4 separate regions of the Mus musculus genome follow, and regions 2, 3 and 4 are each reported to be linked to region 1. Evidence: microRNA targets listed by miRTarBase, many of them from high-throughput screens and not tested one by one. Region 1 holds a microRNA gene; each other region holds the end of a gene's coding sequence.

Evidence for each region. Region 1 holds the annotated microRNA mmu-miR-425-5p (AAUGACACGAUCACUCCCGUUGA, at 2,198-2,220, shown strand). A microRNA usually pairs through its seed, bases 2 to 8, with sites in the 3' UTR of a target mRNA and lowers its output. Matches are read on the target gene's strand: a 7mer-m8 pairs with bases 2 to 8, a 7mer-A1 pairs with bases 2 to 7 and ends in A, and an 8mer does both.
Region 2: miRTarBase lists Atg5 as a target of mmu-miR-425-5p. The part of its 3' UTR that is shown has no 7-base or 8-base seed match.
Region 3: miRTarBase lists Dlgap1 as a target of mmu-miR-425-5p. Seed matches in the 3' UTR shown: 7mer-A1 at 2,259-2,265.
Region 4: the mRNA of Casp9 is a reported target of mmu-miR-425-5p. The part of its 3' UTR that is shown has no 7-base or 8-base seed match.

What each region holds. Positions count from the first base shown.
Region 1 is chr9:108,566,592-108,570,428 of GRCm38, forward strand. Mir425 (microRNA 425) reads left to right here and starts at 2,186; the gene lies at 2,186-2,270. It overlaps Ndufaf3 (NADH:ubiquinone oxidoreductase complex assembly factor 3), which reads right to left and starts at 845. Exons shown (of 5, transcript NM_023247.2): 1 at 260-845; 2 at 1-160. The coding sequence starts at 336. Mir191 (microRNA 191) reads left to right here and starts at 1,728; the gene lies at 1,728-1,801. Dalrd3 (DALR anticodon binding domain containing 3) reads left to right here and starts at 3,301. Exons shown (of 12, transcript NM_026378.3): 1 at 3,301-3,484; 2 at 3,559-3,837. The coding sequence starts at 3,320.
Region 2 is chr10:44,362,748-44,366,584 of GRCm38, forward strand. It overlaps Atg5 (autophagy related 5), which reads left to right. Exons shown (of 8, transcript NM_053069.6): 8 at 169-1,552. The coding sequence ends at 305. Among named protein-coding and RNA genes, the nearest start is that of Mir1929, 5.0 kb to the left of the region's middle.
Region 3 is chr17:70,817,458-70,821,294 of GRCm38, forward strand. Dlgap1 (DLG associated protein 1) reads left to right here. Exons shown (of 12, transcript NM_177639.6): 12 at 568-3,837. The coding sequence ends at 777. Among named protein-coding and RNA genes, the nearest start is that of Gm41609, 13 kb to the left of the region's middle.
Region 4 is chr4:141,812,826-141,816,662 of GRCm38, forward strand. Casp9 (caspase 9) reads left to right here. Exons shown (of 9, transcript NM_015733.5): 9 at 770-3,153. The coding sequence ends at 862. Cela2a (chymotrypsin-like elastase family, member 2A) reads right to left here. Exons shown (of 8, transcript NM_007919.3): 8 at 2,129-2,230. The coding sequence ends at 2,213. Among named protein-coding and RNA genes, the nearest start is that of Cela2a, 11 kb to the right of the region's middle.

The sequences.
Region 1 (3,837 bases):
AGGGCCAAACACGCGATTTCCGCAGATAGTGAAGCCTCTGCTACTGTAGCTGTCGATGTACACGGCCTGAGGGAACTCGCTTTGCAGCAGTGAGATGCGAGTCCGCTGGTATAACTCATCGTCCGCCGGAGAAAGCCGGTGTCCCCGACGCGGGTTCCTCCTGCGGAGGGCTAAAGTCAGGAAGTCGTGGCCCGGCCGGACTATGCGGGATTGAAAGGTCCGAGGCCAAGTGGTCAGAGGCTGGACAGGGGATGCTCACCACAGCCGGTCGACGTGCCGACAGAGCGGCGCAGGTCGCGTTCGGAAAAGGCAGCGAAATCCTAGAGCAGTAGCCATGGCTGCAACGGCGCTTAACGACCCGGTCGTAGGGACAGAGTTGTCTGTCTCAAAGTAGCCACAGCGCCCCTTGCGTCCCGGAGGGCACCGCGCACCTTGAACGGCGCAGTAGGCCAATGCAGAGCCTCTGTCTCCCCATGCGGGTGTGTCAGCACCTGTCGCCCACCCCGCCCCATGCCTCCAGCGACAGTCCCTAAGGAGGAGGGGGAAAAACACCTGCTAGTACGGGCGCCCTAAGGGTATTGTTTAGGCCACTGCCGCGGCCTGTTCCTGGGATTCTCAGCCATTATTCGGGCTCCCAGGGACCAGGGCGGGGCAGCTGCGCACCTGGTCCTGTTATGAACACCTGGCCAGGGTGTGGTGCCAGCCTCCAGGCCCTTAATCCCAGGCTTTGGAGAATCGGGCTCCGGGGGCGGGGCAGATGGCTAAAATTTCCCTAGCTAGTCTCGAAATCGCTGCTTTCCCCAACCGTCACCAGCGCGACCGTTGGCGACGGCGCAGCGCTCCATGAGAGGCGTGGCCGAGCATGGATTGGCTTCCCGGCAGCGCGAGGGGGTGTGGCCAGATGGTTTCTCCTTAAAATGGCTCCAAGTCTGGGGACAGCTAGAGCCAGCGGAAGGGCACGCCGTGGCAGTGCTGGAGTAGCTGTTCGAGTGGGACTGACTGGGCCAAACCGGACCAGACGTGAAGTAGACCGCGCCTGGAGCACCACCCCGCCCTTGCGCGCTCTGCGCGCGCGTACCGAGAGTCTCCCTCCCCCTGTCTTGAGCTGAGTCTAGGGCCTACTGGCGCATGAGTCCTTGGCGTCCCGCGGCATGGGCATCTCTGCGCACCGGTTCTGTCCTGGCCTCAGAGGAACTTTGTCGCGTTCTCTATCCGCTGGACTAGACGGGTGGGATGCTTGACACAAATGGGGCTTGGCTGTGGGGTTCTTTGCAGGGCCGGTTGCAATGGGCTTGGGGGGAGGCTGTCCTGCCGCTGCTATGTGGGCCAGTTTGGCCCCTGGCACTTCATGAGCTGGCACCGTCACCAGACAAAAGGTCCTAAGCTTTGGGGAGTCCCAGAAGTGGACACATGGGTTTACTTCCTCTCGGGTCTCACGGAATCGCTTCCCTCTTGACGGATTCCGAAGCCTGCCCGGTACAAGTGGCTCCTGCTTGGGACTCACAGGGCTAATCCAGCCCTTCTGATCTAATCCGGATCAGGACCTCGTCCCGGGGGATGCCCCCACCTTCTATTGTTCTGGGGCCCAGGTGAGCGTCTCATTCTCACTAGACTGGTTTAAAACACCTACTCCTTCCTACTCAGCCCACTGGGAAGGGATGGGCGGGTTCCGGTTTGGCCTCAGGGCGAGTGACCTGGGAGCAAGAGCCCTCCTCCAATGGCTGGACAGCGGGCAACGGAATCCCAAAAGCAGCTGTTGTCTCCAGAGCATTCCAGCTGCACTTGGATTTCGTTCCCTGCTCTCCTGCCTGAGCAGCGCCCTGGCCCAGATAATGTGGTCTCTATTCTCAGAAACACTACACTACTGGGCCATTCTGATCTCCATCTCTCAGGTGCACCCCCAGACTGATGGTGGCAGTCAGAGGCGACGAAAAAAGCTCGGGCTGATGGCCCTGTCTGGAATCCCTGGAGAACTCTGACCAGGGAGGTCCTGGGTCCTCTCTCTGAAGGGCCGCAATGGCGGTGAGTCCCACAAGGCCGCCCAGCCCGCAGCTCGCTAAAGATAGATCTTCACTTCCTGGGGAAAACCCACCCCAACCGTCTTCATGGAGGGAGAGTAGCTAAAATCACCAACTTGCTGGTGGGTCCCAGCCCTGCTAGCAGCTGAACCCACACCACAGCATGGAAAGTGCTTTGGAATGACACGATCACTCCCGTTGAGTGGGCACCCAAGAAGCCATCGGGAATGTCGTGTCCGCCCAGTGCTCTTTCGGCACCTCCCAAACAGGGCCTCATAGCCCCGGCCTTCCCGAACTTTTCCTATCTCTAGATGTCACTCCTCTCCGGAGCAAAGTTCACCGGTTGGATTCATTCATTACTGGGGGAAGTGGAGTTTCACGTTACTTGGAAACGAAAGAGTTTGGACATAGAAAAGCTCACCTGCAGCTTGCTCTACCTGAGAGCTCTGCTTATTTGGGTCTTCTCATCATCACATTTGTCTTAAACTGACCAGTTGCCTAAAGAACCAAAGGTGCCGGTAACACCAGTTTAAAGGAAAAACATTAAAGGCTGGTAATCCTGGAATCATGATGACTAATTCCTCGGGTATCAAGATGGGCAATTCTATCCGATTGGGCTTTTACTGGGAATAAAGACATTCCATACCGCAGCCGAGGAAAGGCGTACCAATAATCAGAACTCAAATTTTGCTTTGTTTCGTTACTTTTCCAAGTAGGCGGTAAAGAGTCTTTAATGGAAGACACGAGTGGTGGCACACACCTTTAATCCCAGTACTCAGGAGGCAGAGGCAGGTGGATTTCTGAGTTCAAGGACTTTCTGGTCTACAAAGAGTTCCAGGACAGCCATGGCTACACAGTGAAACCCTGTCTTGAAAAACAAAGTGTCATTAATGGTACAGCCTTATTCCTTTGACATTTCGTCTCGTGCGTCTGGCCTTTAATTTGTTTAAATGGGGCAGAAAAAGAAAAAAGAGACATAAACACAAAGATGTGAAACTTTGGTGGCAAAGTGTCTTGCCTGGTAACAAAGATCCGTTATCAAAGTAATAATTCGGGGTGACGATTTTTTTAAAAAGGAGGAAAAATGGACCCTCAAATTTGGAGGTTAGGGCTCATGAATACAGGAAAGGCCATCGGGAGGGAGAGCTGGAGGCGTGGGTAGAATGTAAGCTCACTTGGCATGCTCGATCGCTCTGGTCCATTCAGGAGAGTCCACGGCCGGATCCCCGCCCCCGCCAGGCGGACCTCCCGGAAGCTCTACGGATAACTTACTTCCTGTTCCATTTAGTCTTCCGGTCGCCATGGCGACCGGGCGCCTTGGGGTTGGCGAGACGCTGGAGGCCCTTAATGCAGCTGTAGGGCCTGGTAGCCCAGTGTGGTTTAAGGAAACCCATGCCCGGCACCTTCGTGTTCGAGACTTCTTGGCACCGCGAAGCGCGCTACAGGCGCGCTTCAGGGACGGCCAGGTGGGTGCGCTCCTGTGGGGCATGCCTAGCGGGATCCACGGAACTACGGCCCACTTACACACATCTGCCTGCAGGTGCCAGAGTGCGTGTTCCGTGCGGTCTCCTGCCTGCAGGGTCCCGGAGTGGCCCCTGTACTGCGCTGCGCGCCGACACCCGCGGGTTTATCGCTCCAACTACAGCGGCCCGCTGTCTTCGAACATGTACTCGGTGCCCTGGCCTCCTATGCTACTCCCGCCAAACCTGCCTCACCAGGCCCGCGAGTTGTCCTACACTGCCCAGCACTGCGCTGTAATTCGGGGACGCTCCGATTGAGCCAGCTGCGTGCCGTGCTCGTAGCCGATCATCTAGTACGG
Region 2 (3,837 bases), not on the chromosome of region 1:
TCTGTTTAGGATGAGACATTTTGCAACATTTAAACTTTCTCCTTGTCTTCATTTCCTGTTGAGGGGATAGAACAAGTTTGAAATCCATTTAATTCACTGAGGACCCTGAAAAGGCAAGTCTTCCTCTTTCCCTGTGGTTTTTACTGTTGGATCTCTTTCTTGGAACAGATGGAGAGAAGAGGAGCCAGGTGATGATTCACGGGATAGAGCCAATGCTGGAAACCCCTCTGCAGTGGCTGAGCGAGCATCTGAGCTACCCAGATAACTTTCTTCATATTAGCATTGTCCCCCAGCCAACAGATTGAAAGAGTGTGTCCTCCTCGCTAGATGGAACCACCTTGAGTCAGGACAACGAGGCGTGACACCCTTGCTTCAGTCAAGTTCAGTGGAGGCAACAGAAACCCGGGCTGCTGCAAGCCAAGGAGGAGAAGATTCCATGAGAGATAGGGCGCCCGGGCAGGGCTGAGTGTGCACCACTGCTTCGCTGAGACACACAGGACCACTGCAGCCTCCTCTTCTCGTGAAATGCAATGCAGCCGAAGCCTTTGCTCAATGAAAAAAAAAAAAATGGAAATGTGCCACAGTTTGTATTTCTGATTAACAAATAAGTGGGGTATTTCCTAAGGTGACCATGGTGGAACCTTAGGCAGGAGAATGGAAACATTGGTTGAATTTTCAATAGAATTAGACTTAAGAAAGTAAAAGAGAAATTCTGTTATTAATAACTTGCAGTAATTTTTTTGTAAAAGATCAAATTACAGTAAACCCATCTTTCCTTAATGAGACTTTCCTGTTTACAGTCAGTCTATTGGTATGCAAACAATCTTGTAACTTTGATAATGAACAGTGAGAGATTTTTAAATAAAGCCTCTAACTATGTTTTGTCATTTAATAACATACAGTTTGTCACTTTTCAAAGACCTCCTGAATCTCATAGAGTAAGCCACTTTTTCTTCTGTGTTCCCATTTCTCACTGGCATAGCAAGGGTGCGGGGCATAAGGCGACTTGTCTCAGGAGCTGTCACAGGATTTATTACTGTGACTTGAAAAATCTGTCTTCTATATACTAAAGGTATAAATAATCCTATCTGTCTTTGCTGTTACGTTGGTCACTGTAAACCTGTCAAATCATAGTATGCCAAGTATCTGTCTATGATAATTTTTGAATATTTTGAATCTCCCGTTCCTTTCCAGTGTTTTTGTTTGGTTTGGTTTTGGTTTTTTGTTTTACGTTTTTGTTTTTTGGCTCCTGGATTATGTCATTGTGGCCCCTGGCAGCCAGTCTTTAAAGCCTGCAGGTGACCTGTCTCTAGACTGCAGTAGCTTTTCCTTATCATTACCAAAAACATCCAGAGGTTACTGGAACTCCTACCACAGTAAGGAAAGTTTGCTGCACTCTCTCGATGGCTGCTTGGAGACTCCTGCTGTTGATTTGTGAGCTAGCTTGCTGTCCACATTGAATGTCAACCCATCTGAGTATGCTAAAAGATGATATCATAAAATAATGGTTCTAGATTCAATAATAAAGATGAATGTTTTCTTATAAAAATTATGTGGTGGCTCAAGTGAGGTCCTGATAGCGCTCCTTCCTCCTTTCTCCTTCCCCTGTCCTCTCCCCTGGCCCCCTGCCCTCTCCCCTATCCTCTCCCCTGGCCCCCTGCTCTCTCCCCTGGCCCCCTGGCCTCCTGCCCTCTCCCCTACCCTCTCCCCTGGCCCCCTGCCCTCTCCCCCTGCCCTCCTTAGCTTTTGATCTTCACTGATTTACAGCACATTTTTTCACAAAAATGAGATAAAGTTGGCCAAATAGCAAATATCCTAGAATGGAAGTTGTAAGCATAATAATAAAAGAAATAACAGTGAGGGTCAATCACAGAAAAAATAGAAGCGAGCAGGAAAGCATTGCCTGACAAAACAAAGCGCCCTTTCAGTAAAGGCGGGGAAAAGAGCACCCTCAGTTACATAAGGAGAACTCGCTGACTTGTGCTTCTGCACATTGGTCTGGGTATGAATGAGGGGATTTTCCCCTTTGGAGTTTTGACAAACTGAGGAGAGGTTACTGAAGGATCGGATGCCAGGGAGGGCTTGTGAGGTGTGCTCAGAAGGGTAGCCATGGTGACTTTTGGGTGACACTGGGGTAAGGGACCTCCACTTGTAGATTAACCGAGTAAATCCCACCAAGCCACTGCCGGCCAGCCCCCCGGTGTTCCTGCTGCCAGGAGCATCTGCAGCCTGGTGAGCTAAGGACCGGGCCCAGTGACCAGAGACAGAATAAAGCCAGGAATTAGTGCTGGCTACAATACCTAGTTTTTATTTGAGCACTTAAGTCTTATGGCCTACTAAAAAGCTAGGTAAATATGTTTGCCTTCATTCCTAGGAGTTGGGAGTGAAATATTTATAGAGCAAGATTGGGATTCCCTCATCTTCAGACTACAAGTTTCTACAGAGATGTGGGATGAGGGATAATGGAGAACGAATGGGCTACGGGTCTTAGTAGGTGGCTCACTCTGAGAATGAAAAAAAGTAAGTTCTTGGCTTTGGTGACAGGGGAGGAATTCAGAGCCTAAGCTACTACTTACCTATCATTGTGCTCCTCGAAACTTGCATGACCTTGCTCCGACCATAGAGAGCTTGTTGGAACTGAAGCCTGGTGATAAGGATGCACAGGGTATGTCCCTGAGGATGAGGGACAAGTGTCCCCAGCCATGTTGTGATTTTCCCAATCAGCGAAACTAAGTGGGTTATCCTAAGACTTCAGGTTTAACATTGAGCAATTAGCTTTGGGGTGGGGGTGGGGGAGCCACAGCAGGAGTGGGGGCTGGCTCTCTCCTTCCACTCCTGGTCCCAGAGATAGAACTCAGGGTGTCACTCTTGGCGGCAAGCACCCTTAACCACTTAGCTACATCTTGCTGGCCCACCAATAACTCTTAATGGTTATTTTTCTATGGTATACTTGTTTAAAAATCTGTTCAGATAACCTATCTTCTAGTTTTCAAAACATGCAGTACATGTGGCTCGTGCTAGATAATGCAAATTACATTTTCTCAGACTGTTGATGCTTCCGTTCTGAGAGGAGCCGGGTCTCCCATTACCTGTGGCACTGTAATTCAAAAAGCAGGATAAAATCCCTGGGTATGAAGGGAGAAAAATCAAATATGATCATATTTAAAACTGGGCTCATTTTTATGCAACCACGATGACAAGAGTTGTTCTCAATACAAGTTCTATTCCTCTCTGTGGTCTTTTTTTTCTTTTTTTCTTTTTCTTTTTTTTTTTTTTTTCTGCTCTGTTCTGTTTTTTGAGACAGGGTTACTCTGTGTAGCCCTGGCTAACTTGTAACTCACTCTGTAGACCAGGATGACCTCCAACTCAGATCTACCCGCCTCTGCCTCTGAGGAATGGGATTAAAGGTATGAACCACCACCACCCGGCCGTCTTTATTTTCAGATATATTCATCTGGCCTGAGAATGCACCAGAAGAAGGTGGAGGAAGGAGAGGTGTGTATCTTGTTCAGATTATTGGAGAGCAGATGGCACCCTGTAATTACAGGTCATCTTTTGTGATACAGAAGTGACAGGCAGGTAGTGTGAGCTGCACTCAAGAGCTTCGATGGCTTTTAGGCTAGCACGTGTGGTAGGGATGCTCTTTCCAGCTGGGCAGCAAAGGGAATCCCCAAGTCAGGCAGTCCTGAGAGCAAACATAACATTTTTCAGTGTGCTGTGTTGTAAAGCCACCAGGTTCACATGTGTGTGAATCAGATGCACTGCTGTTGAGTTGGTCTTGAGCCCTCCATGTAGCTAACAGTTCCCTGGAACTTCTGTTACTCTGCCTATACCTCC
Region 3 (3,837 bases), not on the chromosome of region 1:
ACTCCGGGTGGCACCATCGAAGCCGAGAAACAATCTTATAATCTCATCTGGCTGCTTAGGAGTGGAGGAAGGGGGAGCGTGGTGGGCCCAGAGAGAGGGTGGACAGGGTTTTAGCCTTTAACCCAAGCTCCTACCTGATGCAGAGTTCTAAATAATTCTGTAGCCGTTGAGCTCTCCTGGTCCATCCCTAGCACCAGGAAGAGTCTGGAGGATGCTGAGAGAACCACCTTCACTGTGAGGATCAGGGGTCCATTTGCAGGGGTGCATTTTAAATGCCCACATCCTGCCATGGAAAGACCTAATTCCGCAATTCAGCGTTACCCTCGGCCCTAAGCGTAAAATATTACGTTTTCCCTGCATCTTTTTAATACCCAAACCAGAACAAAGAAGAGAAATCATATTAACAATGTGCAGATCAGAACTAACCATCCTTAGGTTTACAAAAAGCAGAAGTGTGTATGTGTGCGTGCACGCGCGCGTGTGTGTTCAAACTACTGACCTATCCCAGTCTTTCCCAAGCTTGTCCTGAGAATCTGTGTAATGTCCTGAACCTTCTGCTTTGATCAGGAGCGAAGGGCCCCTCCTCCAGTGCCAAAGAAGCCGGCGAAGGGCCCCGCGCCGCTGATCCGGGAGCGCTCGCTGGAGAGCTCGCAGCGCCAGGAGGCCCGCAAGCGCCTGATGGCCGCCAAGCGCGCCGCGTCGGTCCGCCAGAACTCGGCCACCGAGAGCGCCGAGAGCATCGAGATCTACATCCCCGAGGCGCAGACCCGGCTCTGAACGCCGCCGAGGACCGTCCCGCATCCCTGCCCTCGGCCACCTCCCCGCCCCCTCCGTCTCTGAGCTCAGTGACAGCCACCGCCGTGGCGTAGTTGTCCACCTCGCAGGAGCCGTCCCCAGGCCGCCCCGCTTCCTGGACCACTTTGCCCATCTTCTCCACCGAGCTTCGCTCCCCCCGTCCTGAAGCCTCATGCAGACATCCAAACCCTTTATTTTCTGGGCCAAGCAAACCCACCTATGTAGAAAACGACACCTGTAGGTCACTCACATCCTCCTCAGTTCTCTCAAGCTAGTGTGTCCCTAGAATTCAGCAATATAAAACCATAGGGTATTTCAGAAACCCAGTATCACATAGGGTGATCCTTTGGGACTTACCGTCTTCCATGTGAAAGAAACGAGGGCTCCAACTCCCTTTATTTGCCCCCAAACAGTTACTTTTTACAAACAGAGAGCGCTTTATTTCTAATCTCAGAAATCACACCATCTCATTGGAATCAAGGTGACAGAGTGGGGACCAAGTTGGCCTAGGGTTGGGGGGCCTGGGTGTGTAAGAGAGAAGGGCGGAGTGCGCAGGTACCTGCATCTGTGCCCTCCCTCGCAGCTGTACAAACTGCCTCACTGGTACTTCATCAACCAAGCTTCAAATGTTTCAATCAGCAGAAGATTGTAAATTCGATCTTTCAGGGAAATCAATCTATTCTGAAAGGCAATAAAAGGAAGAAAGTTAAGGCAAAAGGGAAATAAATACCGGTGGGTTAAGATCCTCTGTAAGGAATCCATTTATTTACCTTAAGAAAATTTAGAACTGAAATGTGTTTTTTTTTTAAATCAACTTTTCTTGTACTCTATGTATTATAATGTCATGGCAATGGTTTTTAAATGGGAGGGTGGGAAAGAGTTGGTTCTGTCAGTTTAGTGTCCATCCTGGTGGGGCCACTTAAGGTTTCACACACGGAAGAACGTTTCTGCTTCTGAGGGGCGGCAAGGACAATGCCAGAGGAGAGTTCGGGTTCTCCGCCACCCTTTGAATGCCACACCTGTCTAGTTCACATTTCCCGGGGGCGTTTTCTCCTTTGGTTTCCTTTCACTCCAATACAGAGTTCACCTGTTCCCCAGCACAGGATTTTGTTCTATGTCAAATGAATAAAATAAAAGGTTTTCTACCCCAGTTGACACGCTGCCTCATTCCCAAGAGCTGTCGTTGTGATCCTGAAGTTCCAGGTAGTGAGAGAAGTCATTTGAGACGCAGGGGTCAAGAACAAGGAGGCGGCAGGGCAGGCGGCATTCATAAACGCTGATAGAAAGCCAAATCTTTGGGTGGATTCCAGGCTGGTTGTTGGCTTGCAATTTAGTCGTCATTGATGGGCTGTGTGTCCTAGCTTCCAGCTGAAGTCTTCAAATGCCCTTTACTTGCAGCAGTTTAAACATTCAGAATGTGGCTATCTGAAAAGATCAGCTGGCAACCTAAAGAATTAGAAATTTGTCATAGGAAAAAAAAAAAAAAAACGAAAGACTTAAAAGAAAAAAAAAATGCTTGTATCAGAGATGCTTAAAAAAAAAAAAAAAGAAACAACCAAACAAAAAAAAGAAACAAAACAAACAAAAACCACTCTCATAGCCAGGTGCTAATTTAATTTTCTTTATGAAATTAAAAGAAGGGATGGGTTCTGGCAACCAGTATTTTCAGACATATTCTAAAACCACTAGAGAATTTGCTACCTCTCAGAGCCATCGAAGCTTTGAGGTTCCTTTCTCAACAGGGCACAAATGTTTACTGCTGTGGTTTACAAGAAAAGGGCTATAACTTACTTTAAAAAACAAAACCAACAACTTTTAACTAGGGCAAAGTCAGCGCTGTGTCAAATTGGAGCAGAGATTTGACTCAAGTATTTGCTAGTTTAAAAAAAAAAAAAAGACACGTTTTCTTTACAGTGGAGCAGCAATGTAAGATCAGAAGTATTTGGGAGTAAGGCCAACTTTCACCTTGGGTAGCCCATGGTCACACTGATTCAAGAAAGATGTGGCATTCACAGAACGCAGCGTTCATTCTGGTCCATTCTGGTCCCACTTTGCCCCACTCATGCATTACTGCAGCTCCTTGCCCTGAGATAGCGCTGAGGTCAGTTTCTGGTGGGATTCCAGATCCTCTGACAATGTTTTCCTTGGGGACTGATTTAGCCCAGGCTATTTTAAAGAGAGACAAGAGAAGGCCTATTTATCTTGTCCAAGTGAACGGCATTTGTATATTCATAAGCTATTTTTGGTAAGAATTTTAAATCTCTTAGCTGAATGCCTGCAGGGCATCAGAACCTTTGCCTTCCTGAGAAACACAGTTTAAACTGTACACTTTATTAAAAAAAATAAAAAAGCGAATTATTGATATTAGGACATGACCCACACACGATACAGCCTGTTACCCACTGGAACCCGGAAACTGACAGCAGGAACATAACTTTTGTTGCGTTCTTCTTTTTGATGTAATTTGTAGAGATGTTTTTTAGTTCATAATGAACAGTGTATGTACCCTCAAAAATTACTTATTTTGTTTAACTTTGGTATAAAGGTGTTGGGCATTTTCTTGGGGCGGGGGGGAAATTACAAAAGAGGTTTGTCTCCCTCATCAAAAACAACAACAAAAATACATTCAAAGAAATCAAGTATTTATTATATTTTTTGCAGATGTTTCCATACAATTCACATAACCTTTTTGTAAAGAGAGATGAAGAAATGGATTAAAGATTTTTAATATTTGAAATGGTAAATAGAACTAATTTATTTGTAATATATTTCTGTTATTTATAGATGTTCCCTTAATGTTTTTCTGTGAAGTACTGCTTTAATTTAAGCCCTATCCTTGTGAATTTACCATTTCTTTTTTTAAGAACATGTCTAGATGCATATTTTAAATAACTGGAATGTAAATCATCAGCATATCTGAATTCCCTAATGTAATTTTTAAAAATTAATTTGGTTTGGGGAAAAAAAGATTCATTTGAAAGCCTTCAGATGGATGGGGTAGGGAAGATTTTTATGGCTTTCTGAATTGGAATTTCATAGGCT
Region 4 (3,837 bases), not on the chromosome of region 1:
CCTTCCTGCAGACCTCAGTGAGAATGAATAGTGAGGGGTATAACAGCCCCTCCCGCTTCAGGGCATTATAGCCCCTCCTTCTTCAGGTCTTAACAGCCCCTCTTTAGGGCACAGCAGACCTCCCCCTTTCAGAGCATAACAGCCCCTCTTACTTTAGTCCATAGCAGCCCCTCCCTCTTCAGGGCATAGCAGCCCCTCCCCTTCCCCAGCATTTGCTCCCCATTGGGACCCTGAGAATTTCCACTGCTTTGCTCAGATACACACTGTGGGGCTATAGGGGTCATTTCTGGTCCTGAGACGGGACCTTAAAGGGCCAAGAAAGACACATGTGCTCTTTGGGTCATTGTCTCCCATGTTTCTTGCCCCATCAACCTTTCAGTCCAATTAGAACTGTGGATTTATGTATCAGAAAACTTGACCAGGTGGTGGTGGTACACTCCTTTAATCCCAGCACTTTGGAGTCAGAAGCAGGAAGAGCTCCGAGTCTGAGGCCAGCCTGGTCTACAGAGCGACTTCCAGGTCAGCCAGGGCTACACAGAGAAACCCTGTCTCAAAATCAAACAACCAAGCCCAAAACCAAACCAAACCTTGAATTTTCCCTTCTTTTACAGTAGCTAATGGGTTTATTCTGTAATCCACCTCAGGATGTTGTAGGTGGCATTGCCTTCAGATGGCCCCTTCAGTGGCCCTCTCCTTGGGAGCCCTCCTCAGCCATTGTGTCAGCTAAGGACACTGCACCCACAGATACCCCCGTTCTTCTGTTTTGCAGGTTGCCAATGCTGTTTCTGCGAAAGGGACTTACAAGCAGATTCCTGGCTGTTTTAACTTCCTCCGGAAAAAGCTGTTTTTTAAAACTTCATGAGGCTCGGGGCTGCTCTCTGCCTCATTATTCTCTCCGAAGCTCTCATGGCTTGGAGCTGGCCAAGGCCATAACTGTCCTGCTAAGATAGGATTTTGAACTGGGGCAGGCTGCTCTTTCCCTTTGGCGATGCAAACATGCTCCTAGCAGCTTTCAGGTTGTAGGGCAATGTGGAGCAGTGGTCGGAAGAAGACCGGAGTGCAATGGATGCTGCCTGGCCCCTTCATCTGTGGTTAGGGATTGTGCCCTGGGACTCCCAGGCCTCTCAAGAACAGGGCTTCTCTGCCACTGTACTACTGACATGTGCGGTTGTATAATCCTGTCATGGGACTGCCTCGTGTATTGTAGAGGGTTTTAAGCTGTCTCTGTCCTCTACCTGCCAGCTGCCAGGAGCACCCCTCCTGAGATCTGCCAACCAAAAATGTCTTCAGACATTGTCACATGTGCCCTGGGGGACATTATAGCACTCCTCTCTGCTCCCCCACCCGGGGGGGGGTCATCAACCACAGGGGTCTATGCATCTCTCCTTTCCAGACTCAAAGTCCAGCTGGCCCAGTGTGCATACCTGGATCTGGGCTGCATCTCTTCCAAGTTACCAGAAGGGCTAATTCTTCCTTGAGAACATTATTTATTCTTCAACAATAAATCTTCGGCAATAGGACTGTATTTAGCCTGTATTGTCCCTACCCCAACTCTGTCCTTCTTACAAAGGAGACATGATTTTTCCTGCGTTTTTCTCTGTGTCTTCCAAGGTCCCTGCCCGAGCCCAGCAGGTGACCGAGATAGGAGTCAGGAGTCCCCACAGATCAAGTCTCCTGTCTGAAGGATCTTGGTTACCCTAGTGGGGACACCAGGACAGAGCTCTGCTGTTTGGGGTCTCCCAATCTCCCATTGTCTTCCTTGCTAAGTGAGCCTGGTCCCCAGGTGGCAGTGACCAGGCAGTACTGAAGTGCTGGGACTTCCTTGAAAATGTGCCCTCCCCTGTCTTTAAAGCGATTCTGCCTTTCACTTATTTTTCTTTCTTTCTGGTTTCCTCTACTCTTTGCTTTGTGAAAGTCCACTTGAGTTTAGATGGTAGATGTGCCAAGCCTTGTTTGTTTATTTTTGAGCTAGGGTCTTACTTTGTAGCCCAGGCTGACCACAAAATCTCCATACCACTGCCTCCTGGGTACCAGGATTATAGCTTGTCCCACTGCCCCAATCTCCTCCTGAAAGAGCATTGCTTTCAGGGCCCCGAGGTTAGGGTATCGGGGTAAGAAGACAGACTCATTCAAGGATGTGATTCTTAAATTACTTTATTACTATTTCTTTTCTATGGCATTTCCAGGGGGACAGTGGCAGTAATGTCTTCAGTTAGTTCCTTGCCATCACCTGCAGGACACACAGGAGAGAGAGGAGGTTAGCTGGAACACTGGGCATTGAGTTCAGTGACTCTCAGGGCCAAGAGGGGTCAAGAAGGGTCTTAGCCCGGAATCCTGCTTGGGTATCAGGCCAGGAAGGCCCGGAATCACCAATCATTACATGCCAAATGCACCGATGGGTATGTTTTGGTTTTTTTTTTTTCATGTTGTCTGTTTCTTTGTTGTTGTTGTTGTTGTTGTTTTCCCTGAGACTGGGTCTCTCTGTGTAGCCCTGGCTGTCCCAGAACTCACCATGAAGACAAGACTGGCCTTGAACTCAGAGATCCGCCTGCCCTTGCCTCTGAGTAGTGGTCTTAAAAGTGTGGACCAGTGCACAGGCCCCTCACAGTTCAGAATGGCAGGTGCCAGCTGAGTTCATTAAACAAGGAAAATGTGTTGATGGCTTATGGTGAGCAGACCATCTACACATGCAGTTGTGGGCGTTTCTTTGTTGTTTGTTTTGAGGCTGGGACTCACTATGTAGCCTAGGCTGGCCTTATTACCACCATACTTGGCTTCATTTGGTTGGTTGGTTTTGTTTGAGACACTGTCTCATGTAGCCCAGGCTGCCCTTAAAACAATCCTCCTGCCTCTTATTCCCAAGTTCTGGCCATTATGCATCTTTACCACCATCTCTGCCAATACAGGATCCTTTGTTTTGTTTTGTTTTGTTTTGTTTTGCAGTTTTGGCGTCTATGCACACAAGGCCCAGGTGAGCACAGAGCATACAATTGACAGCGATTGCCTCTGTGGATTGGGCGCAAAGGTTAAAGCCAGGGGAATCTTCATTTCTTACGTGATACACTCTTGTGTTCCTTTTATAAGCAATATTTTAAATAAAGCAATGTATTCCCTTCTGAACCAAAAATAAAGCTGTGATTGTTGAAGGCTCCCATGTTGGCATTTTTCCGGGGACATTTGCTGACTACCGGGGTTGTTTGTGCCTTTTATTGGTGGCCTGCTGGCCTCGGCTCATCACCTAAGGCTGTCTAGGCAGGTGTGTTCTGAGGCACCCCCTCAGGGTTGCAGCTGTTTCTGCCCACACACTAAACACACACACACACACACACACACACACACACACACACACACACAGAGCACCTTGGGCTGGGACCAGGTGAGGCTCCCATTGTCTCCTCTTCAGCTTCTCCAGGGACAGCTAACAGCTCAGCGCTCAACCCCTGCCTGTCCCCCAATGTTCTATGCACTGGCCACTCTCCCAAGAATGTAGGGGGCTCTGCCCTGGTACCAACAAGGTTTGCTATCCCCTTTCGGTCTTCCTGACTCCTGCGCCCAGCCATCTGCCTTGCTGTGTCTGCCATGGCTGGAAACAGCAGGTGCTGGGAAAACAGGTCACGCTTTGGGTCCCAAAGGTGCTGCCAGGCTCAGCTGTGTTCTAACTAATCCAGCAGCTGGGAACAAAGAGAGGATCTGAGGATCTGGCTGAGACAGAGCCCAGAAGCATCCTTCCACCCAGTCATGGAGGCTCCTTCGAAATGCTCTAAGCTGGTTTTCGATTTCCCTCTGTCAAAATATAGTCATGGCTCCCGTCCTCAGTTCACAATCAAAACAAAGTAA